Macaca fascicularis: one gene and its partners. The protein of the gene in region 7 interacts with the protein of the main gene of each other region in a pairwise test. Links are inferred from orthologs where the notes say so. Each region holds a gene or a part of one and is shown on either strand. Other genes may lie near its edges.

Region 1 (4,114 bases), on a different chromosome or scaffold from region 7:
AATCAGCCACAATATACTGGGTCAAAAAAGACCTCTTCAGCAAGATTGATGGTCTGCAAACTTGACTTAACCCTTGCCTTGCATGGCCATAGGTCTTATTTATAATTTGGTACCTTACTACCACAGTCTGTTAGTCTTATGATCTCTACTTTAACATTAATGTTGGTCAGTTGTCTAAATGCCAAAAGGGGCTATAACAAGGGGTGTTCAACCTCCCTTTCCAGAATGGCTGGGAACTCAGTTTTTAAGGTTTCTCTGGGGTCTCCTTGGCCAAGAGGAGGTCCGTTCAGTGGCTGGGGGGCTTACAATTTTATTTTTAGTTTACGAACACAAACCAAAGTAATTATTTATTTTTATTTTATATTTTTTGTTTTGTTTTTGGAGACAGGGTCTTGCTCTGTCAACCAGGCCGGAGGGCAATGGCAAGATCTCTGCTCACTGCAACCTCCACCTCCTGGATTCAAGCGATTCTCATGCCTCAGCCTCCCTAGTAGCTGGGACTACAGGCGTGCGCCACCACTCCCGGCTAATTTTTTTTTATTTTTAGTAGAGACAGGGTTTCGCCATGCTGGCCAGGCTGGTCTCCTGACCTCAAGTGATCCACCCATGGAGGCCTGGGATTACAGGCGTGAGCCACCGTGCCCAGCCAAAGTAATTATTAACTCCACAGAAAATAAAAGGCTGTGCAGGAAGTAAAATTAATCAAGTCCATATACAGACCTCGGATACATTTTGTTTGCGCTATCCCGCACTTTATTTTGTAATTAAACACCACTATTTAAAAATCAGGAAAATTGCACATAAAAATCCAGAATTTTAGACGTAAAAAAAAAAAATTGCTAGGTCTAGATAAACTGCCTGCATTTACTCAAGAACAGCTTCAAGTGCAGCTGCAAGTGGGCGCTCTGGAGTTCCCCAGTCTCCACTCACTCGCCCTCCCACACCCCACATGCCTCAGCATTGCCTATCCCACTCCACCAGCCCAGTCTTTCACCGCCCTAGGAGCTCTCCTACGCCTACGCAAGCTGGGAAGGATCGCGGGACAGCATGGACAACAAAGGGTCGTCTCCCGCACTCCGTATGAGGATTAGGTACTGGTCGCGGGGCAACCGAAGCCTTTCTTCCTATCACCTAACGCTCCACTTGAGCCCTCAGCAAAGACGGTACCCGCCGAAAAGGTGTGGCCGGAAGCTGGAGACGTGGCTTCCGGACGGGCGGCGCGAGGCTCGCCTCGTTTCCGCCGGCGCTCCGAGTGACGTAGGAAGCGCGCCGCGCACCTCATGGTTCCGGGGACAGTTAGGGCGGCGGATGGAGGTCAGCGGTGGTTGTGACGGCGTAGGTCTTGTGGCACGGGGAGAAGGGGCGGCTGGGCGTGGGTTTCGAGGCGTGGCTGGGAAGGTGTCAGGGGTCCTGGGATGCGGTGAAACTGGGGAGCAGGTTGGGACGCGGTGGGATGCGGTGTGCCTGGCCGTCCGCTCGTTCCGTGCTGGCTTGCCAGTGCGCACGCTTCCTCTCTCATCTAGCTCGCGCGGCCGGGCCTGGAAGACGCCGCCCCTGTTGACCGTCCATGACCCCAGCGAGCCAGTTTTCGTGACTTAGTGCAAGTTGTTTTCTCTCTGCATTTTAGAACTAAAGTTTTGGATTTTTGTTTGCCTAAACCCAAGTCCGGTTCCTGGGCTTCCGTTTACTCCGCTAAACTGCTCTTAGGGCTTTTAAAAAATCGGAAAGGAGGCTGGGCGCGGTGGATCACTTGAGGTCATGGTGAAACCCCGTCTCTACTGAAAATACAAAAATTAGCCAGGTGTGGTGGCGCAGGCCTGTAATCCCAGCTACTTGGGAGGCTGAGGCAGGAGAATCGCTTGAATCCGGGAGGGGGAGGTTGTAGTGAGCCGAGGTCGCGCCATTGCACTCCAGCCTGGGCGACAGAGCGAGACTGCGTCTCGAAAAAAATAAAATAAGTCGGAAAGATTTCTCCACTGTACTTAGGCTCAGAAAGTGGTAGATGTTGCGTTTGGGCAAATACTCCGACTGAGATCGCTCTCTTTTTTTTTTTTTTTTTTTCTTTAAGTGGAGTTAGACCAAGCTTTTTACAGCTGCAGTAATCCCCTCATGTAAAAATAAATGTGCTGGCCATATACCAAGTTCCAGGAAGTGGAGAAAGTTCAAACGTACATTCTGCTTTGGCAGAAATGAGGCCCGGGTGAACGTTTTAGCTTGCCCTTGTCATGTGTGTTCCCTGGGTCATTTAATCGCTGTAGGGAGCTAGAATAGCTAATAGATTTTTTTTTTTTTTTTTGAGACTGAGTCTCGCTCTGTCGCCCAGTCTGCAGTGCAGTGGCGCGATCTGGGCTTACTGTAAGCTCTGCTTTCTGGGTTCACGCCATTCTCCTGCCTCAGCCTCTCGAGTAGCTGGGAGTACAGGTGCCCGCCAGCATGCCCGGCTAATTTTTTTGCATTTGTAGTAGAGACGGGTTTTCACGGTGTTAGCCAGGATGGCCTTGATCTCCTGACCTCATGATCTGCCCGCCTCGGCCTCCCAAAGTGCTGTGATTAGTGATAACAGGCGTGAGCCACCGCCCCCGGCCGATAGAATTGTTAAAAGCACATTGCTGGAGATGGCAACATTGAGTTTGGCCTTGGAAGGATGAGATGTGTTTTAAAGGGCCTGATCGGGGGAGGAGGAGACCCGGGTAACAAGTCCTGTAAGGTGGGGTGGAAGTGCAAGGCCTGTTTAAAATGGGGCCTTGTGTTGTTGGGAGGCAGAAAAAGGGCTAAGACTGAAAAAATCATTCTGGGCCATGTTATGAAGTGCTGCTTCTTATTGGTTCAGAGTTTTTGCTGTTAGAAATTTGGTAGGGGGGAGTTTAGTAGGCTAGTGATGTAATCTACCTTGGTTTCGAGAGGCTCACACCTATGTCTGCAGTGTTAAAATATATCCACAGAGGCTTTGGGAATGTGAATTCTTCCTTTTTTTTTTTTTTTTTGAGATGGAGTCTCACTCTTGTCACCCAGGCTGTAGTGCAGTGGTGTGATTTCGGCTTACTGCAACCTCCATCTCTGAGGTTCAAGCAATTCTTGTGCCTTAGCCTCCCAGGTAACTGGGATTACAGGCATGCACCATGATGCCCAGCTAATTTTTGTATTTTTAGTAGAGGTGGAGTTTCACCATGTTGGCCAGGCTGGTCTCAAACTCCTGACCTCAAGTGATCCACCCGCCTAGGCCTCCCAAAGTGCTGGGATTACAGGCGTGAGCCACCATGCCTGGCCAAGTCCATAATTCTTTTTTGAGACGGAGTCTTGCTCTGTCGCCCAGGCTGGAGTGCAGTGGCCAGACCTCAGCTCACTACAAGCTCCGCCTCCCGGGTTTAAGCCATTCTCCTGCCTCAGCCTCCCAAGTAGCTGGGACTACAGGCGCCCGCCACCTCGCCCGGCTAGTTTTTTGTATTTTTTAGTAGAGACACGGTTTCACCGTGTTCACCAGGATGGTCTCGATCTCCCAAAGTGCTGGGATTACAGGCTTGAGCCACCGCGCCCGGCCCAAGTCCGTAATTCTTAATCCTAGTTACCCTTGAAATTTAAAAAAAAAAAAAAAAATGCTGTCTGGGTCCTGTCTGCAGAGATGCCATCATTTAGGAGACCTTGGGCAGGACCTGGGAATCTGAATTGTTGAACCACATCCTAGGTGATTTCAAATTACAAGCAGGATGAAAACCTTCCCACCCAGGCTGTAATGCTCCTGAGTTTTGATATTTCATGGCATTCTGTACTGAAACAAAAATCCTGTGAGATTTTTGCTTCAGAAATACTATTACATGCCTATGGATTGTCAAGAAAGACAGTCTGATTTTACAGATAGGGTGGCTTTGACTCTATTTCATTTGTCAAATTTGTGAGTCAGGAACTGCCCCTGTAGTAGCCCCTTCTCTCTCCTTTTTCTCTTCAGGGTTTGGAATCAGTTGCTAGGAGTCTTGTCTCTCTGCCACCCAGGACGTTATGGCAGCTCACCTGGTAAAGCGATGCACGTGCCTCCTGAGAGAAGCTGCTCGTCAGGTCCCTGTCATGGCTCCAGTTGGCCGACTGAGACTTGCCAGGGTAGCCCATAAGACTCTGACTT
Region 2 (3,500 bases), on a different chromosome or scaffold from region 7:
AGCACTCAGGGCTGGAGCCCGGGCTCTAAGCACAGGCCCCAGAGGCCAGACAGGAGGGAGGCAGCAGGAAGGGCTGGCGTGGAAGGGCTGAGTTCTACTGGGGTCCCATGCGGGCAAGGGAACCAGGACTCGCCCCTGCTTGTCAGCCAATCAGCTTCTTCAGGAAGGCCTCCAACTGATCCTCATCCTTGATGCCTACAAACTTGTCCACCACGTCCCCATTCTTCATGGCCAGTACAGTGGGCACCGCCGACACCTGGGTGGGGAGGACAAGGGGGTCCAAGTGAATTGGCAGTGAACGCTTCTCAACTGCCACTCCCAAGCCTTTGTGGGGAAGGCTGGTGGCTTATCCAGGGCACTGATTTCCCAAAGCCATGGGCAGGCCTAGAGGAACGTGGCTCTTCCCTTAGTGCAGGGGTACTGCAGGGCCCGGTGGCCACCCGTTGAAGAAACTTCTTCCATTGCGGGCTCCCAGCAGTACCCTTCCTCCCTTAACCACAAGACTGACTCACTGGCCCAGTGGTTTTGCTGGAATGACAGGAGAGATGAAAATAGCCCATGCAGCTGCAGGCCAGGGCTGGGGGCAGGGAGGAGCTCGGGGGAAGCCTGGCCCGGGGGGAGACAGAAGCTGGGGGACAGTTCGAGTCCTGGCTTTGCACTCACTTGCAAGGGGGCCTTGGCCAGGTCACAGCACCTTTCTGAGCCTCAGTGTCCTTTTCCATAAAATGGGGGTAATGTCTACCTTTAGGGTTTGGGATGAACATTAAAGATTCAACAAGTATAGGCTGGGCACAGTGGCTTACATCTATAATCCCAGCCCTCTGGGAGACTGAGGCTGGAGGATTGCTTGAGTTCAACAGTTCCAGACTAGCTTGGGCAATATAGTGAGACCTTGTGTTTACTAAACTCCCCCCCCAAAATTAGCCAGGCATGGTGGTGCATGCCTGTCCTCACGTACTTGGGAGGCTGAGGCAGGAGGATCGCTTGAGCCTGGGAGACTGAGGCTGCAGTGAACTGTGATGCTGCCACTGCACTCCAGCCTGGGTGACAGAGTGAGACCCTGCCTCAAAAAAAAAAAAAAAAAGAAGAAGAAAGATCTGAGCATAAAGCAGAGCTCAGGGTGGGCGCGGTGCCTCACACCTATAATCTCAGCATTTTGGGAGGCTGAGGCGGGAAGATCATTTGAGGTCAGGAGTTCGAGACCAGCCTGGCCAACACGGTGAAATCCCGTATCTACTAAAAATACAAAAATTAGTGGTGGCGGGCGCCTGTAATCCCACCTACTTGGGAGGCTGAAGTGAATCGCTTGAACCTGGGAGGTGGAGGCTGGAGTCAGTGGAGATTGCACTACTGCACTCCAGCCTGGGTGACAGAGTGAGACTCCGTCTCATAAATAAATAAATAAATAAATAAAGCAGAGCTCAGGTTCTGGCTGACCCAATCCGACTCCTACCAGCCAGGTGAGCTGGGGCATGACCCTCAGCAACTAAGCTTCAGTGTTCTCAGATGCAAGATGGAGATACTAATGGCACTTCCATTAGAGGGCATGAAAGCTGAATGAAATAATGTGAGTAAAGGCTCAGCACAGCAACCCGGCAAATAAGCGTAAGAACCTGGCATTGTGCCTGGCATACAGTGGGCATTCAAAAAACGGTGGCTGCAGAGGGCACAAGGAAAAGTCCAACACAGGCCACACGAGAGCATGTTAGCTTGCTGCCGTGATGAGTGACAGGGTCCAGAGACTCAGGGCCTTCTACTGGATAGCGTGGGAGGAGAGGCTTGGCCATACACGACCTCACGCTTATTGGCGGGTTGCAGGCAGATGGCAACGGCAACATTCTTGGTCTGTGAAGCATTTACTCAGTTCCCTCAGGGACCTGCATAGGTTACATGGAATGCAGATGAGGCTGTGGCCCACCAGACTGGCATCGTGAGGTCTCTGCTGCCTGGGATCCCTGCCTGGCATTCGTGGGCATTTGAGAAAACCATTTAAACAGAACAAGATAGGCCGGGCGCTGTGGCTCACACCTGTAATCCTAGTACTTTGGGAAGCCGAAGCGGGCAGATCACTTGAGGTCAGGAGTTCGAGACCAGCCTGACCAACATGGTGAAACTCCATCTCTACTAAAATACAAAAATTAGCCAGGCCTGGTGGCGCATGCCTATAGTCCCAGCTACTCGGGAGGCTGAGGCAGGAGAATCGCTTGAACCCGGGAGGCGGAGGTTGCACTGAGCTGAGATTGTGCCATTGCACTCCAGGCCTGGGCGACAGAGCAAGACTCTGTCCCTGCCCCCAAAACAAAATAAATAAATAAAAATAAACAGAACAAGATAAACACAGACTTTTCTTACACACAAGTTCACTACAAAGTAAGAGCAGAGATTCACACAAACGTACCAGGTCTTCACATATCCCAGTGCTGCCCTGCCGCAGACCATCTTGGAAGTCAGTAAGATTTAGAATGTTCAAAACCCGTGCACATGGTAGTTAGGAAAGGCATGCAGGCCAGACCATCCCACCCTCACCCACTAACTACGTGGCACGCCCCGCACCCCACTCCTCATGGGCACTTTGGGGACAAACACAGCAGGTCAGAGGACACAGTCCTTGTCCTTCTTAGTGCCTCAGGCCCCTTCAAATCTGTCCCTAGGCTGATGTGGGTGGCAAACCCTGTCTCCAGGCAGAGCAGGGCCCGAAAAAGTTTGCTCCAGGAGGCTCCAGGGAGCGCCTGAAGCCACTAGGGCCTTCCCAGGCATTCTTTGGTGCCCTCTAGTGGTCTGCAAAGGCAGCTGGAGCGCCTCAAAGCCAGAGCCTCTTGGCAGAAGCACAGAGCTCAGCGGCCGGCTCCCACCTGCACACGGTCCTATTCCTTTAATTAAAATAAACGCTTTATGCCACTGTATAAGAAATGGCCTAACCTTTTTCATGGCAGGACTCTAAGTTCACTGAAGAGGCTCAGAGAGTGGACTTAGTGTTCCTTAAGAACTCCAGATAGGGACAAGCACAGTGGCTCACACCTGTAATCCCAAACACTTTGGGAGGCCAAGGCAGGAGGACAGCTTGAGGTCAGGAATTCATGGCAAGACCTCATCTCCATAAAAAAATTAAAAAAAAAAAAAAGGGAACTCCAGATGAAGGCCATAATGATCTCACTCATGTAAACCTCCACACATGCTTCAACACGCACAGACCCTGCTGGTGTCAGGTAGACAGCAGATGTGCTGTGAATGGAGGTCTGGTCATTACTGATCAAGGGGATTTTTTTGAAGTTGAGCTGAAACACACACACATAAACCCCCCACTAGAGCTCACAGGAAACCTGAGCTGGAATGGGACTTCCCTCGACCCCAAGGAGGCGGCTGAGGCCCTGCTGCTCCTGTGTTTGGCTCACACATCAGGCGGGGCCAGTGCCTGTAAACACTGCCTTCCGTGGAAGCGCACAGGGCCTTGGTACATTCTTCTGGAATGTTCTGAGTGTGAAAAAGGCAGTGACTGAGCC
Region 3 (4,247 bases), on a different chromosome or scaffold from region 7:
GCCTGTAGTTCCAGCTACTTGGGTGACTGAGGCATGAGAATCACTTGAACCCGGGAGGTGGAGGTTGCAGTGAGCCGAGATCGTGCCACTGAACTCCAGCCTGGACGACTGAGTGAGACCCTGTCTCGCAAACAAACAAGCAACAACAAAAAACCCAAGGGTAAACTACCCTGGTCTCCAGACCCTACCAGCGATCCCTAGACCCACCAAGTGTCCTGTAAATACAGGCTGTTTTAGTATCCAGGGTGAAGGATGTGACTGACTCCTCGTAGAATGAGTCCATGGCAGGGACCCAGCTCAGAGCTCCTGGATATGACAGCAGCAGTCAGCAGCAGGAGGATCCCCCTGGTGCCTGGAGCCTGTTTGTCTAAGTCCAAACTCTCTTTCCAGACACAGATTGACCCCAAGACTGAAGGAGAGGGCCCAGAGTAGAGCAGGCTCCCCCGCCCAGCACCCCCTGCACACCAGGAGAGCGCCTGTCTTCCTGCCTCGGGTCTCACTCACTCTATCCACCCTCTACAGTGGTCCATAGTGATCCTTCTAAAGGGCAGTTCTGACTGTGACACTCAACTGCTCGAAACCCTTCTATGGCTTCTTGTTGCACATAGGACCAAGCCCCAACTCCTGGGCCTTTCACACCAGCTGGGTGACGGCTGTGAAGGCTCTTCTTCATCAGCTCGACTGTCTTTGCCTTGGCAAGCCAGAGCCCAGGGGTTGGAGCCCAGCCCAGGTTAAATCTGATGAGTTACGTGACCTTGGACAAATTCATTTCATTTCTCTGATCCCTGAGGGTGGCGAAAACAATCAAAAAGTTCTTCCAAATAAAGACTAACATTTGGCTCAGAGAACTCTCTGCAGAGGGTCCAGAAAGAGCCACCCTCTTTCTGGAGAATTCTCTCGTCTTCAGAATTCCCAATGAGACACCGAGGAGAAACCTCTGCAGCCCCCAGTCCTCTCTCTGGAGGTCTGTTCATCCTAATGGCTTCTGTCCTTTCTAAGTGACACGTCTACACCTCCAGCTCTGGGTTTAAAGATGCATCGGTTGAAGGGCCCATAGACGCTTACATCCAATATAAGGACATCTTCCTGCCAGCACCTCTCATTTGACAGCAAATCCCCTCTAACTGACCTTCTCAGCAGCTCCTGAAGTTTATCCTCTGCAAGTCCAGATCCTTAGTCTCCTTCAGGAGCACCTCTGCTTCTATTCCGTTCTCCATCACGTAGATAAAGGACAAATTCTAATATGCTAATGAGACCAGACTTTCCACTGTTTAGAATCCTCCAGACTCCTGATCATTCCTGGGAGAGTCTAAGCTCCTTCATGTCCTTTCTCCCGGCTCTACCTTGCTCTCTGTCCTCTGCTCATACCCAGACTACAATTCTGGCTCTCCTCAGGGGTACACGGCTGAGTTGGCAGTACACCTTGCTTTCCCTCAGCTCTAGGCTTGGACCTGAGGGGCTCTGGACTTGCACTATTTCTCCTACCCTAAATACCCCTTGACCTTTGCTTCCCTGGGTGAACTCTGGAATCATCTCCTCTGGGAAGCCTTCACCGGCTAAGTTTGTGTTTGGCGAGCCCTCGCTATTGGCCACTTGCTTGCAATTTCCTATCACGTACAGCTCTTATCACCTGGTATTGTGAGCATCTGTTTCCTCCAAGACATGTTTTCACTAACTCATTCAACTATTTGTTGAGCGCCTATATGTGCCAGGAACTATTTGGGGTGCGGGGGAAACAGCAGTGAACTAACCAAAATCCCTGTCTTCTTGGAGTCTATATTCTTGAGGCTCTTTGAGGGCAGGAACTGTCTGGCACCAAGGAAACACTCCATTAAAAAGATGATTAGTATTGTCAGTATTACCTGGGACATGGCACCCAAAGCGCTCTTAGCTGAGCGAGCTGCAGCCTGGAGGCCCTGCTGACCTGGCTCTGGGGTTTCCAGGCGTTTCCAGGAGGGGCCTGTGCAGAGGTTGAGGTTGACGGCTCTCAGGGGCAGCCTCCTTTGGAACTGCCTGCACAGAGACCCCAGGGCCCCTGCAGAGGTCTCCTGATGGCTGGCCACAGGCTGCAGCTCCTTGCTGTCCTCCAGCTGCTCCTGGTGCCGGAGAGATCTCCGGCGCACAGAGGTCCCCATGCTCTGCCACCGAGAAGCCATTTGTCTGGCCAAGAGTCTTCTCTGTCCACTAGACCCTGGGGAGGAGGGCAAAAAAGCAGGTCAGCAAGGCATTCCCCATCCCCATTTCCAGGCCCCACAGAGACCCTGGACACAGGGGAAGAGATGGGATGCAGCGGGGTGGCGAGGGCGAGCGGGGAGCGGGCGAGTTGGCAAGTGTGGGTGCGGGAAGGAGGATGCTTCCTGGAAGAGAGGTCTCGGGTCAGCAGCATTTCTGCTGTCCCGCACTTCAAGTTTCCAAAACAGCTGTCTTTTCATCCCAACCTCCTTCCTCTCTCTGGCTCAGGCGAGGAGGGGAGGCGGGGTCAAGACACGCCGTAGCCGAGCTTCAGCGCTGGGCCCAGGACACGATCACCATCTCCTTCACCAGCTCGCCCAGACCAAACGCGCCCCCACGCAGATCCCGGCCTTCCCACCAGACGCCCCGATTTTGATCCGACGCTTGTAGTACCCAGACGCCTCCACAGGCCGTGCGTGTCCGAACCCGATGCCCTCCCCTCTGAACAAAAAAAATTGTTTTGAGCCGAGATCGCGCCATTGCACCCAGCCTGGGGAACAAGAACGAAATTTGTTGTGCCCCGCCCGCACTCACCCGACAGCACCAACGCGGATCACACGCCCAGCACAGCTGCTCCTCGCCCACCACAGCCGGTTTGAAACTCTGCGCGGCTCCGCCCCAGGCCCCGTCCTCACAGCTGATTGGTTCTGTCCCCGCCCCCGTCCCCGCCCCAGGGATCCGATTGGCTTTCTCTGTCGCGGCTGTAAATGCTGCGCTCGGATTGGCCCGGCCGTCCCCATTCATCTCTCCGGCCCCCTCCAGGCCGCCAGCCTCGTGGCTCCGGGCTTTGTATTATGCGTCCCGCCCGGGCCACCGCCCTTGCCCGCCCAGCCCCCGCGCATCGCACGCCGGGTCCCCTCCCTGGAGCGCGCACAGGGTTGAGGCTGCTCTGATCCCTGGGGTGGAGGCGGAGGTCCTGGGATCTAGGCCTCCTGGCTCAGGCCTCAGACCCCGCAGTGGGCAGGGACCCTGTCCATCCTGCCAAGGGGTCTGGCTTTTCTTTCTTGCTCAGTGGTTTTGTCCGAAGGAGCCAGGGCCTGGCAGTGCGGAGCCCTGGGTTCCCAGAGACGTTTCCTTTCAAATTTCCCTCCTGACCCTCCCTTCCTGTGACAAGACACTGTCCCTCTCTGAGTTCCCCATACTCGCCATCCATGCTCCGCGCCCCCCTCCCAGAAGATGCGTCCTGGAAGCGGGGATAGACCAGAGTACCCGTCTGCCCTCCTCCCGCCTACACCAGCTCCCCGTCCCCGCCTTGCCCCACGCATCCCTCCCTCTCTCAGCGGAATGCCTGCCTCTCCTCTCCTTAGCATCCAAACACAATCAGCCATTATAGAAGTTCATCCTTCTCCTTTCGGTGACCTCAGAGCTGTGCTGCCCAGTCCCCCGGCTGGTTTCTTTGTTACCTCTCCGGCACAAGAACCTGAGATGCTGACTTCTTGAAAGACTGTCTTCAGCCCTCTTCGTTTCTGGGCGGTCTCACCCACTCCTTTGGCCTCAGTGATTTCCAACGAAAGGATGATGATAATGATTAACGTGTATATGGCCCTTAGTATGCACAGGTACTGGTGTTGCAGTTTATTAACTGATTTGACCCTCTGCTATGGTTTGAATGTGTCCCTCAAATTTCACATGTTGGAAATGTAATGCCCAAATTCGTATATTGGTGGCATTTGTTTGTTTTTGAGACAGAATTTCGCTCTTGTTGCCCAGGTTGGAGTGCAGCCTGGCGATCTCGGCTCACTGCAACCTCCGCCTCCCGGGTTCAAGCGATTCTCCTACCTCAGACTCCCGAGTAGCTGGGATTACAGGCGCCCGCCACCACGCCCAGCTAATTTTTTGTATTTTTAGTAGAGATGGGGTTTCACTATGTTGGCCAAACTGGTCTCGAACTCCTGACCTTAGGCAATCCACCAGCCTCAGCCTTCCAAAGTGCTGGGATTACAGGCAAGAGCCACCACGCCTGGCTATCGGTGGCATTTTTTTTTTAGACATATAAATTGTTATTTATTCAAATT
Region 4 (3,976 bases), on a different chromosome or scaffold from region 7:
AAGAACCACTAAAAATGCCTCAGGACATGGTGAAGCAGAAGGAAAGCAGGTGCAGAGTGTTTCAAGGAGGAAGGAGTGGTCAGCTGTGCCAGCTGCTGCAGATGGGCCAAGTCAGAAAAGAATTAAGAACAGACCCTGGAATGCAGCAACATGGAGGTCACCCATGACCTTGACGAGGCCTTTGATTCAGTGTGAGAGGAGGGGCTGACTGGTGTGAGATCAAGAGCGTGAGAAGGGAATGTTTGTTTGCATGCTGAAGAGAGTGTAAGAGAAAAGTGGATGATGCAGGAGAGAGGAGGAAAACTGCTAGAGCAGTGTCTCTGAGTACCCAGGAAGGGATGGGGCCCCAGCACAAGCCCCTGCTTGGGGCACCTCCAGCTCTTCCACAGCAGCAGGCGGACGACACTCTCCAGGCCAGACGCTGAAGACACAGTAGGGAGATGTGACGACGGGAGCTTAAGTGGATGTTCTGCAGTGTTTCTGTGTTTTCAGACGCTACCTGTTCAGGGGCTGGAAGTGATGAGTGGGAACCTCATCTCCTATCTGGCTTGGAGAAAGGGGCTCCCTACAAAAAGGTGACGCCAAAAAATTGCTTCTAGATATGTGTTGTTCAATATAGTAGCCACTAGCTACATGTGACTATAAAGCAATTGAAAGGTGGTTAATTCAAATTGAGGTGTGTTGTATGTAAAACATTTTTTAAAGGAATGTAAAATATTTCGTTAATAATATTTTTAAAAGGTCAGGTGCGGTGCCTCACACCTGTAATCCCAGCACTTTGGGAAGCCGAGGTGAGTGGATCGCTTGAGGTCACGAGTTCAAGGCCAGCCCGACCAACAGGGTGAAACCCCATCTAAACACACACAAAAAAATTAGCCCGGCATGGTGGCCTGTGCCTGTAATCCCAGCTACTTGGAAGGCTGAAGCAGGAGAATCGCTTGAACCCAGGAGGCAGAGGTTGCAGTGAGCCAAGATTGTGCCATTGCACTCCAGCCTGGGCAACAAGAGCGAAACTCTCTCAAAAAATTAATAATATTAACAATAATTAAAATGATTACATGTTAAATTGATATTATTTTGGATATACTGGGTACAATTTATTTAAAATGTCATCTCTTTACTTTTCAATGTGGCTACTAGAAAAGCTAAAACTACCTATGTTTCTCGCACTACATTTTAACCGGACAGCATTGCTCTCTAGACACGCCCCAGAGCTCTCCCACTTCTTGAGAGGGAAATTTCTCACCCTGCAGATGGGGTGGGGGTTGGGGGCAGTGGGTATGGTCAGAGGGGATTCCAAATGCGGAGCAATACTGCCCCCTTGTGTCCAGCGAGGGAAGCACAGCTGAAGACGGATGGGAGAGGGGTGCTTCCAAGGTTTGTCCCTTGCTAGGTATTAATGGCATACTGATCTCCTTGTTCAAACATCCTTTCAAGCTGTGCCCTATTCGAGGAACTCAAGCATCCTGTCCACCAACAAAATGCATTTACTGAAGCCCGACCTAGTAGGCAAGGAGACACTGAGGCTGACTTACAGAAGAGGCAAAGTGGTGCATATCTGGGAAGAGGTGCAGGAAAGGGTATGACGATAGGAAGAATTCAGATAATGCTCCAATTGCCGTTTTAAATACTCCAGGACCCTCCCATCCCCAGAGGGATTTGGAAGGCCGAAGGAAGCGATGCCAACAGGCCCCTTTCTCTCCCTCGCCAGGAGCTAGCTTCGTCCCCTTGAAGAGGCTGAACTGGGCTCATATCTGTTCCTTACCCTCTTGCCCCTCATTACCTGTAAAAATCCAGTGAGGTCATCGGTGGAGAACACGTCCATCACCTCCATAGCCCCCGCGCTGGCCTTGCTGACTACTGGAGTGAGCGGGCAGCTGCAAGGTTTCCCCATTCACCGCATTAGGCTGGGCCATCTCAAGCCCGGCTCCCTACCCTCCCCGGGCTCCCAAGGGCTAGAGGCGTGAGAGTTCTGGGACAGGTGAGTCTGGCTAAGGGATCACCCAAGGGCCAAGGTGCTTAGGAACTTGGCTGCATCTCCAAGTTGGGGCACATGGAGAATGAGGGACGTCCGTGCCTGTTTCTCCGGCTGGTGATGACCTTATCCACTCCGAGGAAGTGTGCGGAACGCAGCACAGCCCCAAAATTCCGGGGATCCTGGATCCCTTCGAGGACGAGCCACAACTGCTGGGGGTCGTCGCCTGGGCTCGCCTCCCCGGCCTCACTCCAAGGCCGGGGCCGCAGCGGGCTCACCTCCATGCAGACACCCTGGTGGACCTGGTAGCGGCACATTGTGTCCAGTTTCTGCCGTCTGGGCCGTAGAACTGGAATGTCCCGCGCCTCGGCCATCCGGAGCAGCTCGGCCCGCTCCCCCTGCAGCCCAGCTTTACCCGCCTGGAGCAGGAGCCGGGCCACGGAGCGGCGGGCGGCCCGCAGAGCCAGGAGACACGGGGACAGGCCAAACAGAAGCTCCAGCCGCGAGGTCGGCACCAGGTCATCCAGCAGCAAGCGGCTTAGCTCCTCCCCACCAGGCCGCTCCCCACGCCGCGCTGCATGGGAGAAATGACGGGTGACGAGGCGACCCCAGGTCGCGCCCCGGATGGTCGAGAGCAGTGTCATGGCGCAGCTCCCGCCAGGGACTCGATGCCCCCTGCTGCGTCCCCGGGAACGGTAACCCACGCCGCAGTTCGCTCCCAGGCTCCCAACACAGGGGTGAAGGGTACTCGACAACTGCCTCCGCCGAGCTCTCTCGGACAGGAAGAAACAGGCCGCATTCCCCACAACTGGACTAGAGAGCTACGACCGTCCCCTCCCAAGCTCCCACGTGGGTTCCCTCGCTTCCGGGTTCGGGAGCCCACCCCCAGTCCCTGGCGCCTCTTCCTGACGGTGTTTTGCGCATGCGCGGTCGCCAGGCTGTCCCCACAGCACCTCCTACAGGGCTAGAGGAGCAGCGAGCTGAGCTGGCCGTACTACCGGCTGCGTCCTGTGTTCCTCGAGGTCAAGGAGGTCGGGGACTGCATTCACTCACGCACCAGCGAAGGGCACTTTAAGGAGATGGGTTGGCCTTCCTGGTCAACCAATTCAGTCTTGTTGCCTCCCTCCCCACATCCCGGCGCTGGTGATTTTCCCCAGAACTACTACTCACTAGCTCATCACCAGCCAGCAGGAGGACCCCAGCAGTCACTTCCTATCCCGGGCCGCTGATTCTCTTCCTAAGTGACTCTGAGCCTGTCCTGTCCCTGCTGATAAGCCCACTAACGCCCCCGTCCCACAGGGAATGGCGAGACTTTTGCGCAGCACTCAGCCCCCCAGCGATCCAGGAAGGCAGGAAGGAGCTGCCTCTTCAGCCCCATCTTGCTCCTGCACTTAAGTTCTGTGCTGTTCGCACAGCACTGCATGCTCTTCCAGGCCTCTCAGCCTTGCACACCTGTCTTCTTCGCTTTGTCAAACTCCTACACGTTTTCAAGACCCAAACAAACCCATTCCTGCTACCTAAGGTAATCCATACTCCCATGAGTGAGGCCCCCAATCCACCCACCAGGTAGGTCCCAGGTGGGACCGACCTGGAAGAAATTCTGAGACACAAGCACCCCTGATCACAGAGAAGGGGAAAGAATGGAAAGACACACTCCTGAAGCCAAGGCAGATTGGTTGCAATTTTTCTTTTTTAATGATCACCATGAAATCCTCTGGACCAGGCCCTGGTATTCTGCTGCCATAGTCAGAGTGGAGGGATGACCCCACGAGGGGAAGAGCAGCCAAGATTGGGCTGGAGAGCCCAGAAGGAGAAAGAGAAGGGGAAGAGGGAGCAGTGGGGCAGGCAGAGGAGGAAGTCTGGAGCCCTGGATAACCACGCAGATATAAGGTGAAGGCCTCCCTCTGCCACCCTAGCCCTGAGCCGCAGAGGTTGAGGTGCAAGAAGATGGGGGGAATTTTGGCCACAACTCCTTTCCCATATCAAAGGGAAGAGACTGAG
Region 5 (4,279 bases), on a different chromosome or scaffold from region 7:
AATAAAAATGTCTTCAGTGTTGTACCTTGTACTTGGCCTGTTACCACAGGAATGACACATATTCCATTTTCAAGACATTACTTACGGCTTTATAGATTTCTGCTTTAAGGAATAAATGCAATTTCAATCCATTTAAGACTTGATTTCTTCTTCTTATATTAAAAAAGTATCTGATCTTGTATCTAATTTGTTATGACAGTACTATCACTTAAAGTACAGCAATTATGCAACCCCTGAATTTGAATTTCATTTTGCAAGTGTACATGACCTCACGGACAGAGCGAAGGCAGAAAGTTAAAATGAGCATATCGAAAATAAATCACTCTCGTGACCGAAAAGAACGTAGAGTACCTGAACAAAATGTCAAAGCTCGCATAGGCATAGATACTTCCATGTGAACTTTAGGAATCTTGGCTCATCTAACTTTTGCAGGGCTGAGTGGATCCCCTACTCCCGCTAGCCGTTTTGGGAGCACCAGTAACCTCCACATCAGGACCGGGCTGTCAGGGGCCGCTGCGGCGCAGGGACTCGTCCGGGACTGAGTCAGCGCCGAGGCCGAGAAGTTCGGCGGGAGGCTCAGGGCGGGGCTTCCTCCCGCCGACTCCGAGCCCGGCTCTACTTTTCTGAGTCCACGTCTCTTCCTTTGGACAGGCGTGTTTCCCCAGGTCGGGCCCAGCCAACGTGACAGCCGCAGACCTCGGAAAAGGGCGCTCCGGCCCCGCCTCGAGGATTTCCCCCGGCCGCTAGGGCAGCCTGGGCCCGCTCGGCCCAGCCCCTCACGGACTGCGGCGCGCGGCTCCCCGGGGCCCGGCCCGCCGAACGCCTCACTCCACAGCCCTCACCTCGCGGCGCCGAGTGTAGCGTCCGCGGCATGGAGACCGGCTCCGACTCAGGTCAGAGGCCCGCGCCGGGGCCGCGGTGGGCTGGCTCTGCGCGCGCGCTGGGGCAGTTAGGCCGGGCCGCCCGCACAGGCCGCCGCGTGCCGAGTCCGCGCGGGGAGCGCACGCGGGGCGGGCGGCGACAGGTGGGCAGGACGAGCCGCGAGCGAGCGAGGGCGGGCGGGCGGGCGCGCGAGGGGCCCGGCGGGGGGGCCGCTGGGAGGATGGCTCAGCTCTTTCTAAATATAAAACCGGCGTGAGTTGGGCGAGTGCGGCGCGGAGTCGCAGAGCCGCCGCGCGGGCCTGGCGCACGGGGATTCGGCCGCACAGACGGCGGCGGCGGCGGCTCCGCAGAGGCGCGAGGCTGCGGGAGCGCCCGAGTCGCGAGCTCGCGGGGGCAGCGAAGAGCGACGCTCGCGACGCGGAGGACGCAGGCGGCGGCGGCGGCGGCGGCGGCGGCGGGCGGGCGGGCCTCGAGGCACAGCGCGGTCCGCGCCGAGTGACCGGAGGCGGCTCGCGGCCCCTGCCGCACCGCGAGCCGCGAGCCCCCCGGCCGCGCCCTGCCCCCCCAGCCCCTCCTTCGTTCCCTCCCCGGCGCAACATGGCTGCGGCCGCCGCCTCCGCCTCCCAGGATGAGCTGAGTAAGTGCCGCGGCCGAACCTGGGGCCGCGAGCCGGAACGGGCGCCGCGCGGTGCCGGGGGGCGGCGGCCGCATCTGGGCTGGAGGGCTGGGGCGCCAGGCCCGGTGGGCGGGCGGCGGCCGCGGCGTGCGGGGAGCTGGGGCGCCCTGGCCTGGCTGGCGGGCGGGGCGCGGACCGTCGCCGCTGGCGTTTGTAGGCCTCAGGTTTGCACCGTCACGTTGCGAAATTGAAACTGGAGCCCCGGGCGGAGCCACCTCTGCCCGCGATCCGCCCTGGCCCGGGGTGGGGGGAGCCCGGCCCCCTGCCCACCGAGCCTCGGCTGGCGGGAGGGCCGGAGCCCCGGGGTGACGGGCAGTGTCCACCCGTCCCATCTGACCCCTCCTAGCCCCGGGTCCCCGACGGTTGGGCGAGTTCTAGAAATGGAGCTTTCGGGAAAGGGGAGAAGGTGCCTTTTTGTGACACTCTAGTAATCAGCCGAAAGGTCACGAATAGGCGGTGACCCTCAGGTGGAGCAGGGAGGGCGGAGAGGGTCGCCGGTCGAACCGCAGGAGAAACCACGGGGTGACAGCGCTTTCAGAAAGGAGAGTTAGTGCCCCCTCGAGCGTACGCGGTGCAGCCTTCCCGGGGACGGCGGTCCCTGTCTGGGGAGAGCGGTGGTCACCCTGAATCCCAGGCCGCCCCGCCCGCCGCCGGGGTTCGCCTCGATGCTTTGTGGGAAGTGTAGTTCCGGGGCGCCGCGGGCCCACGCTGGGATCATAAATACCGAATTTTCATAGGACATAGGACATGTGAGATAATTTCTGATTGCCTTTTGAGTTTTTTTTTTTTTTTTTCCACCCAAGGGTTTTCTTTCCTTCCCCCCCGCCCCCCCGCCCCAGTGCTGTCCTTCAGTTTATGGCAAAAACAAGAAAGGTGTTATTTGGAGATGATGTGGGTTTTAAATGGAATAAAGGAATAAAGCATGGGTGAGGTGTTGCAAGCTTTATGAAGCTTACGTTGTTAAAGCCGCTTCTGAATTTCCATATGAAAGTAGTTATACACGTAATGTATGGTTTCTCTAGTGCTTGTCAGTTTAAAGCCACTTTTATATACATGATCTCACTTTTGCCCTCATAGCAACCTTGTGAGGCAGATAGGTAGGAATTATCCTTGTTTTAAAGAGGAGGCAGGTTTGGAGAGATTAAGTTCCTTGCTGCTTTGACACAGAACTGGTGGAGCAGGAGTACTGTTTGCTCTTTTTGAAGCTGAAGTAAACACTTGGTGTGATCCTCAGCAGATTGGAGAGTCGGAGGAGACAAGGTCTCATGGTGCGATTAGAGATAGAAGCCGGCTAAATAGATTGCTCTTTTGTCGGTTCCACGTGGAAGCACCACCAGGCCTTCTGAGATCAGTTCCATGTTTTGTTTTAATTGTGATAAAAATACACATACCATAAAATTTCCCGTCCTAGCCATTTTTAAGTGTATAGTTCAGTGGGATTGAGTGCATTCACACTGTTGTGCAATCATCACCACCATCCATCTCCAGAACTCTTCATCTTGCAAAACTGAAACTTGATACCCGTTAAACAACAAATCTCCATTCCCTCCTCCCTTCAGCCCCTGGCGACCATCATTGTACTTTGTGTCTCTGTGATTTTGAGTATTCTTCGTACCTCGTGTAAATGGAATCATACAGAATTTGTGACTGGTTTTATTTTCATTTAGCATAATGTCCTCAAGGTTCATCCATGTTGTTGCGTGTGTCAGAATTCTTCCTTTTAAAGGTTGAATGATATTCCCTTGTATGTATATACCGCATTTCCTTGTCCATCTATTTGTATGTGGACACTTCGGTTCCTTCCACGTTTTAGCTATTGGGAATAATGCTGTTGTGAACATGGGTGTACAGATATCTCTTTGAGACCTTGCTTTCAGTTCTTTTGGGTACATACCCAGAAATGTAATTGCTGGATCATGTGATAATTCTAGTTAAAAATTTTTAAGGAACCACTGTACTGTTTTTGACAGTGGTTGTTGTACCATTTTACATTCCCACCAACAATACACAGGGTTCTAATTTCTCTACATCGTGGCCAACGCTTACCCTTATTGTCAGTAGTAACCATCCTGATGGGTGTGAGGTGGTCTGATTTTTTTTCAGTTGCTGTGCTGTATGACATCTGAGTTCCTGTTGTAGCACCAAACACATTAAAGTCTGAATTGCTAGCAGGAATGGGGAACAAAACTAGAGGAAGAATTGGATATTCTGAAGTGGCTGAAGTGTTTGTGTCTGTGCAGTGTGCTTCTGTACATTCAGGTACTGGTTAAGATGCTGTTAGTTAAGGGATTTCCTGGCTCTAGTAGCTAAGAAAGTTAGGAACAGATCATTCCAATCCTTGCCTTCTTGTTTTGTTCAGTTAAGTTGTCAGTCATCAGCCACAGATACCTGTGGACTTGGTTTCTGTATTTCTTCAGGAGAGACTGAATACGTGGCAGTTGATACCTTAGAATAATTTAACTTGAAAGCATATACGTGTGCACTGGTTAAGAAGTTTCATATTGGCCGGGCGCGGTGGCTCAAGCCTGTAATCCCAGCACTTTGGGAGGCCGAGGCGGGCGGATCACGAGGTCAGGAGATCGAGACCATCCTGGCTAACACGGTGAAACCCCGTCTCTACTAAAAATACAAAAAACTAGCCGGGCGCGGTGGCGGGCGCCTGTAGTCCCAGCTACTCGGGAGGCTGAGGCAGGAGTATGGCGTAAACCCGGGAGGCGGAGC
Region 6 (3,133 bases), on a different chromosome or scaffold from region 7:
GGTACCCAGAGCTGATATTGTCCCTCCTCTGCCTCCAATTTTTTCCCAACTTCCCATCATGCTCAAGAGAAAATCCAGCATGACATTAGAGGCCATAACCCCCACCTGCCTCTCCCTTTTCATTTTCCATCTCCTGCCCCCAACATTCTATATCCTGGCCATACATTACCGTTCTTCATTCCCACAAGACTCCTGACTTTTCTGCACGTTCATCTTCAGGCCCCTCTGCCTGGATATTACCTTTCCTTGGCCCTTAAGAAGCCCCTAAACATTCTCTCTCCAGAAAAGTCATCTCCATCCCTCCACAATATGGTTAGTCTTTTTCTGGTGTTCTCCCTGCACTGGGACTGCTGTCTGGCCTGTATTAACTGCTTCTGGTCTGTAAGTGCCTCCTCCCCACCACCCCACAGACTGAGGCCCTGGCAGGCAGGTCCTGGGTCTGACCCGTGCTAGTGTCCCCAGCATGGGGAAATGTGCAAAAAGAACTGAGAGAGACTGCGTGCAAAGAAGGGCTGAGTTTTGGCAAGGGGTACAAAATCAGAGAGGGAAAGAGAAGGAAAGAGAGCCAGCTAAAGGGAGAAAGAAAAGTGCTGGAGAAGGGGAGAGATAGACCCAGGTTGGAGCCTGTATCCACACAGGCCAGGCAGTTGTGCTGGGCAGGAGCGCCCTGCAGGCTGGTCGGCCTCGTGGGCTGTCACCTTCTCTTGGTGCTCAGCTCCTACCATGGAGCTGGCAGACGGTTGGCTTAGGTCTTGGCAGAATTAATCTCAGAATAGCCAGATTCCAGCCAAATTTTGTTGAATGAATGAAGAAACAAGCGGAGGGGCTGGGGAAGGGCTGAAAGGGTGGGGCGGATGTAGGACCAGACTTTCCGGAGGCTCCAGATGAGGCCTTTGGAACACAACGCTCAAAACTCATCTTGCCGCTCTTGCCTTCTGCTCACAAGGTTTCATAGCCAGGCCGGGGGCTGCCGCAGTGAGCACCCAGGCTCAGGGCACCTGGGAGGCCAGAAAGAGTTTAAGCACTTGCCCCTGCCCTTCATCCTCAGGGCCCCCTATTGGCCCTCCCAAGCTCCCCAGGGCAGTGGACAGGATAGTCACCTGTGCAGAGCAAGAGGATAGCTGAGAGCCAGCCCAGGTAGAAGGACCAGGAGAAGGAGGCCTGGATCTGGGGGTGTGGAGGCTCGTCCCACCGCTCGCTGGTGTACACCGCCATGGCCACTGCCATGGAGAGGGCTGGGGGCAAGGACAAGAGAGATAGCTCAACCCTTCGGCAGGAATTCACTGACTCCCGATGCCCCAGTCCAGTCCAGAGTCCTTACCTGCAGCAAAGGCTGTGATGGTTGAGACAAGGGGGCCGTGGCCTGGGGTGGACAGTGAGGGGATGCAGGACAGGACCAGGAAGCTCACGCACACCAGGCCCCACAGGACAGCCAGAATGCTGAAGCTCTGCGTCACATGAATGTAGCCTGATCGAGAGAAGACCACTGAACACCCATCCCCACTGGCAACCCCTCCGCAGGACACCCATTCCCCTTACCTGCTATGATGTCCCCATGCCCCGTTGGCCAGAGGCCCGAGTGAGCTGAGTCGTTGGGACCCACAGCCTCAAACCAGAAATCGGTGCTCAAAGCAATCAGGCAGAACATCAGGCCCAGGAAGCCCACAAGCAGGGCCAGGGACCGGCAGGGCTCCATGGGGGTGAGCACGGGGCTTCTGGGTCCTGGAGGAGGAAGAGGCTGCTGATCAGACTGTTGAATCTCAGAGGGAAGGAGGCTGTGCACCCAGACTCCTGGGTCCTTGGAGCTCAACAAAGAGAGACCAGCAAGCAGTCGGGGCAGTGAGGGTTCGTGTGCTTTGTCAGATGAGGCTGGTTTGGTTTCACACAGTTCCCGGTAACTGGCTTTTCACATACCCTCCCTTCCTGGATTGCACAGGCAACGTCCTCCCTCCCCTCCCCGGGGTCCGGTTCCCCGCTTAGTGTGTGGTGGGGGAGGGCACTGAGGGTGTCAGATCATCAGTGGTTTGGGTGGTGGTTTAGAACTTGCCTCTGTCACAGGTTCTACAGCTCCCACCCCTGGAACCTTCAACACCAAGTTGGGGCTTCCTGGAAGAGGTGAGAGAGAGAGAGGCTTGGGGGCCCTGAGGTGGGAGGAAGCCAATCGGGCTGGGGTATGCGTTAAGTGGGAGGGGAGATGTGGCTGGAGGGGACAGTTGGCGATGTGTCATGCTTTCCTGTGGGTTCTGCAGTCTTCCATTTTGGAAGAGGAAGGCCCCAAGTCTAGGGTCTCTACTAAAGGAGGGGGCTTGGGAGTTAGAACTCCTGGGGCTTAAGGAGGAAGGAGCTGGGGTCCTGAACTCCAGGTCCCGAGGGAGGAAGGGGCGGGTGGGAGCTCAGAATCCTGGGCCGCAGTTTGGAGCATATGCCGAGGGCAGGTAAACAGCAGAGAATCACAATTCTGAAAGGTTTGCAGAGAGGCAGACATACCCACATCCTCATCTGATATAATGAGTTCAGTGGCATCTCTGCTTTGGTGGGGGCTCCAGCCTGGTGGCCTTTGTCACCAGGATCAGGAGGCCTAGGGGGTGTTGGGAGACATAAGGATTTCGGTCGAGGGTTCTCCAGCCCCTGAAACGTTAGCCTCTTCCATCCACACCAACATCAGGTCCTGGCAACACCTCACTCGTGAGCAGGTGTAAGGTGAAGGTACCACAGCCCACGTAGAAGACCCAGGAAAACTTGGCCTCTGTGAAACAGGGTGATATGGTTAGGCTTTGTGTCCCTACCCAAATCTCATCTTGAATTGTATCCCCATAATCCCCACATGTCTAGGTAGAGACCAGGTGGAGGTAATTGAATCATGGGGCGGGTTCCCCCCTGCTGTTCTTGTGATAGTGAGGTTTCACAAGATATGGTGGTTTTTTAAGGGGTTCTTCCTGCCTTCGCTTGGCACTTCTTCCTGCCACCCTGTGAAGACGGTACCTTGCTTTCCCTTCGCCTTCTGCCTTGATTGTAAGTTTCCTGAGGCCTCCCTAGCCATGTTGAACTGTGAATCAAATAAACCTCTTTCCTTTATAAATTACCAAGTCTCAGGCAGCTTTTGTTATTGCTGTTGCTGTTGTTGTTGTTTGAG
Region 7 (3,941 bases):
TGCCATTCTCCCGCCTCAGCCGCCCGAGTAGCTGGGACTACAGGTGCCCACCACCATGCCCGGCTCATTTTGTTTTTGTATTTTCAGTAGAGACGGGGTTTCACCATGTTAGCCAGGATGGTCTTGATCTCCTGACCTCGTGATCCACCCACCTTGGCCCCCCAAAGTGCTGGGATTACAGGAGTGAGCCACCGCACCTGGCCCACAATGTCATTCTTGCATGGACAGGGCTTAGTCACCACACCTGGCCCACAATGTCATTCTTACATGGACAAGGCTCAGTCAGGGGCTGCCCTTTGTGCAAAGGGCCTGGGGCAGCTGTTTCTTCTCACCTGGCACCACCGCCCACTCTGGTTGAGCTGGGCAGAAGCGGGCACTCAGCCCTTGCCCAAGGAATATACAAAATGAGGGAGCGCAGGCCGCAGGGAGCAGTTCCCCACCTCCTGAAGGGCTCTGATCTCAGAACATCCCCTAAGTGCCTGCAAGCAAGGAGTCAACGGCTGCTCTCCACAGGATGGCCAGATTCAGCAAACAAAAATACAGAACACCCAGTTAATTCCCAATATGAGATCATGAATAATTTGTTAATATATTCCACATACTGCCTGAGACTTACTCATACTAAAAAACTGTTCGTTGTTGACCTGAAATTCAAATTCACCTGGATCTCCTGTACCTGACCTGGCAACCCTGACCCCTCAGGGCCACCCAGCACTTAGTTGTCTCTGACTGGTAGCGGCTGACACCCTTGGAGATGGGGGATCTTGTTTGCCAAGTCAAGGGGAGGACCAGCCTTTTCATCCTGGCTGAGCTGCCCAGCATAGCTCATACTTGTGGATGCGCTTAGCCTGTCGGGCCTAAAAAGTTGCTCAAAAAAGCCCCTAAGAGACTAAGCCCTCCCAAAAGACAGAAACAGCCAAGGTTAAAGTCAGCCCTAACTAAGCTGGTACCCCAGAAAGGACCTGGCCCTGGAGTCTGAGCCCTATGGGTTCAAATCCTGATACTGCCACTTACTGCCTGTGGGACCTTGGCAACTTACCCAGTCTAAGCTGAAGTTTGCTCATCTGTAAAAAGATGACCACATCAGCTTTCTCATAAGGCTGCCTTGATTATATAACCTGGCACACCACAGAAGCCCATAAATGAGAGCTCTATCCCTCCCACCGCCCTCACCTGATCCTCTCTCAGCAATTATTTTAAGCAAATCCCTCATCAGAGAAAAGGCAGTTGGTGTTAACCCCATGTTGCCTGGAATAGAGTGGGTACTGATACCAACAAACTTCGGTTGCTGTCACGTAAATTTCTTCCCAGCTGAATGTTCCACCCAAGCCCATTTCCCTGCTCCAGCCATGTCTCCCCACCACCGTGGACTGGAAGCTTCAGGAAGGTTTGCTGAAGCAAGTATGATTAAGAAGGGAAACGGGCCCATGGCAAGTCAGCACAGATGTTGTGTAATAAAGTGTATTAAGCCATTGTTTTGTAACCATCTATCTCTCAGGTTCCTTTACTGCCAGACACCAACAGGGAGCTAAATGCTTCGTCACTTATGAGTAAGAGGACATTCCTAGATATTGCCTCAAAGGAGGATGCACTAAGACCCAAAATGGCCGGTTTGGTCCAAGGTCCACACCTTCCTGACCAAAGCTAAAGCTCCTAGCCCCTCTCATGCAAACGGAGCCCAGACACGTGGGCGACGGTGCTGGGTGGGGAGAAAAAGAAGAACAGCCGCTGGCACCCAGACCCGGACTGAGCTCACGGCTTGGCTCGGGAAATGAAGACACCACAGGAAGCCCTGCAACGTTTTCCCCAGTGCACAAAGTTGGGGTTTTCTGCTTTTAAGTAATTTCTGTGGGAGTTTGTGCTTCTTCATTATGAAATAAGGGCGCTGGACGTGTAAATTTTATAAAACCAATTGCTGGCCGGGCGCGGTGGCTCAAGCCTGTAATCCCAGCACTTTGGGAGGCCGAGACGGGCGGATCACAAGGTCAAGAGATCGAGACCATCCTGGCTAACACGGTGAAACCCCGTCTCTACTAAAAAATACAAAAACCTAGCCGGGCGAGGTGGCGGGCGCCTGTAGTCCCAGCTACTCAGGAGGCTGAGGCAGGAGAATGGCGTGAACCCGGGAGGCGGAGCTTGCAGTGAGCTGAGATCCGGCCACTGCACTCCAGGCTGGGCGACAAAGCAAGACTCTGTCTCAACAAAATAAAATAAAATAAAATAAAACCAATTGCTTGGGAACATCAGATTTCCTGAACCCGACTTAGCAAATAAGGAGGTCCTGGGACGGTGCTGGGATCCGGGGGCAGGCCCAGTCCCTGACCCCGCGCGGGGGAGGTGAGCCGCCTCCAAGCCCCTCCCGCGCGCCTTCCTCCTCCTCCAGGGGAATTCTGGGCATGCGGGCAACAGCAATCCTGGGACCAGCGCTGCCTGCTGGAGGGTCTGAGTCCGGGAAGGGGCGGCCCTTGCCCTCCTCTGCCACCTCCAACGGCCCCTCTGCGTCGCCCTGCTGGCCTGTGCCTGACTCACTCTCCCTGCTGTGGCCTGCCTGCCCACCTCCTTCTCGCGTGAGGTCTGTACCTTCCCTTCCTCCCATCCCTCTTTCCCCCAAACTCCCGATCCTCCCACCTTCCTGGAAAATGCAAATGTCCCACCTCCTCCCGCAAAGGGGACCCCCCATCCCCAGCCCGTTGCCACCTTCAGGTTCACAGCAGGCAGCTCCATCTCGACCCAGGCCGAGGGCACCTGCGCGGCAGCCGCGGGGGCTCCTGGGCTCCGAACTCGGGGAACAAACTTGCCCGGCCCCGCCCCGCCCTTTGCGGCGACTCCAACCCCAGCGCCGCTCCGGACCACGTGAAGCGGGCTGGAGCGGGTCACGTGACCGCCGCTCGGTTGCTAGGAGACGGCGTCGGCAGGCGCGCCTTCCGCCAAGCTCCAGGCTCCCGCCACCGCCCAGGCAGTACCTGGGGGCCTCTGGCAAAAGTCGGAGTTTCTGTCGCCCAGGGCGTATCTTGCCTGGCTAATACTCCAGGAAGCGGGCTGTGGGGACTGCCTGCAGCCAGGACAACTGGGGTACCGTCCAGGCGCAAAGTGCTGATGTGGCAACAGCTTGTGTCTCGTCCTTGGGGGCACCCTCTCTCCTTCCCACTTCCCTGTGTAAATGGGCTATTTAGGATACCTACCTCATATGATCCTTGTGAGAGTAAATGAGCTAACCGCTGTTGCTAAAGAAAACGTTATTGGGACAGTTAAACCAGTACTGTTCAAGACTTGCTGTAGGGTTATTGCCATGGAGTGAGAGTTTGGGCTCAACACTGAATACAACAAGGACCCAGGAGGGATTTATAGCTAAAGTGCAGAGTGAGGGAACCAGGGATGGAAGATTCCTGGGAGGAGACATCAAGGAAGGGGGAGTTCTTGCTAACTTAGCAGGACTCTTGCTGAAACTGGTTTATGCAGGCTCAGGCCCAGCAAGGACAGGAAGACACAGAGGTCCAAAGTCAAGGCCTAGTCAAGCTGAGGACTCAGAGGAGCCTAACTACCGTTTGGTCTAGGAGAGAACAGTGCCTGGCACTTAGTAAATGGGCAGGACACACAAGCTATTGTTATTATCAACATAAGAGGAGGCTGGGCGCAGTGGCTTACCCCTGTTATCCCAGTACTTTGGGAGGCCAAGGTGGGTGGATCACTTGAACTCAGGAGTTCGAGACCAGCCTGGCCAACATGGTGAAACCCCATCTCTACTAAAAATACCAAAATTAACAGGGTATGGTGGTGCATACCTGTAGTCCCAGCTACTCAGGAGGCTGGGGCACGAGAATCGCTTGAACCGCGGAGGCTGCATGACACTGCACTCCAGCCTGAGCGACAGGGTGAGACCTTGTCTGGGAAAAACAAACAAACAAACAAACAAAAAACAACACCTGAGGAGCCAAATTAGT

The links.
Region 1: the proteins of AGTRAP (region 7) and TBRG4 interact in binary tests that used the Homo sapiens proteins (3 or more experiments, as listed by UniProt). The two-hybrid records come from large-scale screens. The link is inferred for Macaca fascicularis from reciprocal best matches to the Homo sapiens genes AGTRAP and TBRG4.
Region 2: the proteins of AGTRAP (region 7) and TXN2 interact in binary tests that used the Homo sapiens proteins (3 or more experiments, as listed by UniProt). The two-hybrid records come from large-scale screens. The link is inferred for Macaca fascicularis from reciprocal best matches to the Homo sapiens genes AGTRAP and TXN2.
Region 3: the proteins of AGTRAP (region 7) and PIMREG interact in binary tests that used the Homo sapiens proteins (3 or more experiments, as listed by UniProt). The two-hybrid records come from large-scale screens. The link is inferred for Macaca fascicularis from reciprocal best matches to the Homo sapiens genes AGTRAP and PIMREG.
Region 4: the proteins of AGTRAP (region 7) and MRM1 interact in binary tests that used the Homo sapiens proteins (3 or more experiments, as listed by UniProt). The two-hybrid records come from large-scale screens. The link is inferred for Macaca fascicularis from reciprocal best matches to the Homo sapiens genes AGTRAP and MRM1.
Region 5: the proteins of AGTRAP (region 7) and ECPAS interact in binary tests that used the Homo sapiens proteins (3 or more experiments, as listed by UniProt). The two-hybrid records come from large-scale screens. The link is inferred for Macaca fascicularis from reciprocal best matches to the Homo sapiens genes AGTRAP and ECPAS.
Region 6: the proteins of AGTRAP (region 7) and NKG7 interact in binary tests that used the Homo sapiens proteins (3 or more experiments, as listed by UniProt). The two-hybrid records come from large-scale screens. The link is inferred for Macaca fascicularis from reciprocal best matches to the Homo sapiens genes AGTRAP and NKG7.

The regions. Positions count from the first base shown.
Region 1 is NC_088377.1:85,230,245-85,234,358, forward strand, and holds the start of TBRG4 (FAST kinase domain-containing protein 4), read left to right. Parts: upstream 1-1,314; 5' UTR 1,315-1,335; intron 1,336-1,523; 5' UTR 1,524-1,600; intron 1,601-3,943; 5' UTR 3,944-3,993; coding exon 3,994-4,114. UniProt on the Homo sapiens protein: Plays a role in processing of mitochondrial RNA precursors and in stabilization of a subset of mature mitochondrial RNA species, such as MT-CO1, MT-CO2, MT-CYB, MT-CO3, MT-ND3, MT-ND5 and MT-ATP8/6. May play a role in cell cycle progression.
Region 2 is NC_088384.1:15,201,912-15,205,411, reverse strand, and holds part of TXN2 (thioredoxin, mitochondrial), read right to left. Parts: intron 257-3,500; coding exon 143-256; 3' UTR 134-142; exon of another isoform or gene 1-133.
Region 3 is NC_088390.1:6,485,932-6,490,178, reverse strand, and holds the start of PIMREG (protein PIMREG), read right to left. Parts: upstream 2,801-4,247; 5' UTR 2,767-2,800; exon of another isoform or gene 2,626-2,766; intron 2,192-2,625; 5' UTR 2,157-2,191; coding exon 1,863-2,156; intron 1-1,862. UniProt on the Homo sapiens protein: During mitosis, may play a role in the control of metaphase-to-anaphase transition.
Region 4 is NC_088390.1:44,403,804-44,407,779, forward strand, and holds the start of MRM1 (rRNA methyltransferase 1, mitochondrial), read right to left. Parts: upstream 2,801-3,976; 5' UTR 2,620-2,800; coding exon 2,078-2,619; intron 1,878-2,077; coding exon 1,784-1,877; intron 422-1,783; coding exon 329-421; intron 1-328. UniProt on the Homo sapiens protein: S-adenosyl-L-methionine-dependent 2'-O-ribose methyltransferase that catalyzes the formation of 2'-O-methylguanosine at position 1145 (Gm1145) in the 16S mitochondrial large subunit ribosomal RNA (mtLSU rRNA), a universally conserved modification in the peptidyl transferase domain of the mtLSU rRNA.
Region 5 is NC_088389.1:46,626,813-46,631,091, forward strand, and holds the start of ECPAS (proteasome adapter and scaffold protein ECM29), read left to right. Parts: upstream 1-1,479; coding exon 1,480-1,519; exon of another isoform or gene 1,520-2,210; intron 2,211-4,279. Other genes in the region: uncharacterized protein, read right to left, coding at 843-1,481. UniProt on the Homo sapiens protein: Adapter/scaffolding protein that binds to the 26S proteasome, motor proteins and other compartment specific proteins. May couple the proteasome to different compartments including endosome, endoplasmic reticulum and centrosome.
Region 6 is NC_088393.1:59,178,279-59,181,411, forward strand, and holds NKG7 (protein NKG7), read right to left. Parts: upstream 1,883-3,133; 5' UTR 1,697-1,882; coding exon 1,540-1,696; intron 1,469-1,539; coding exon 1,322-1,468; intron 1,236-1,321; coding exon 1,101-1,235; intron 999-1,100; coding exon 940-998; 3' UTR 501-939; downstream 1-500.
Region 7 is NC_088375.1:223,073,610-223,077,550, forward strand, and holds the start of AGTRAP (type-1 angiotensin II receptor-associated protein), read right to left. Parts: upstream 2,801-3,941; 5' UTR 2,725-2,800; coding exon 2,698-2,724; intron 1-2,697. UniProt on the Homo sapiens protein: Appears to be a negative regulator of type-1 angiotensin II receptor-mediated signaling by regulating receptor internalization as well as mechanism of receptor desensitization such as phosphorylation.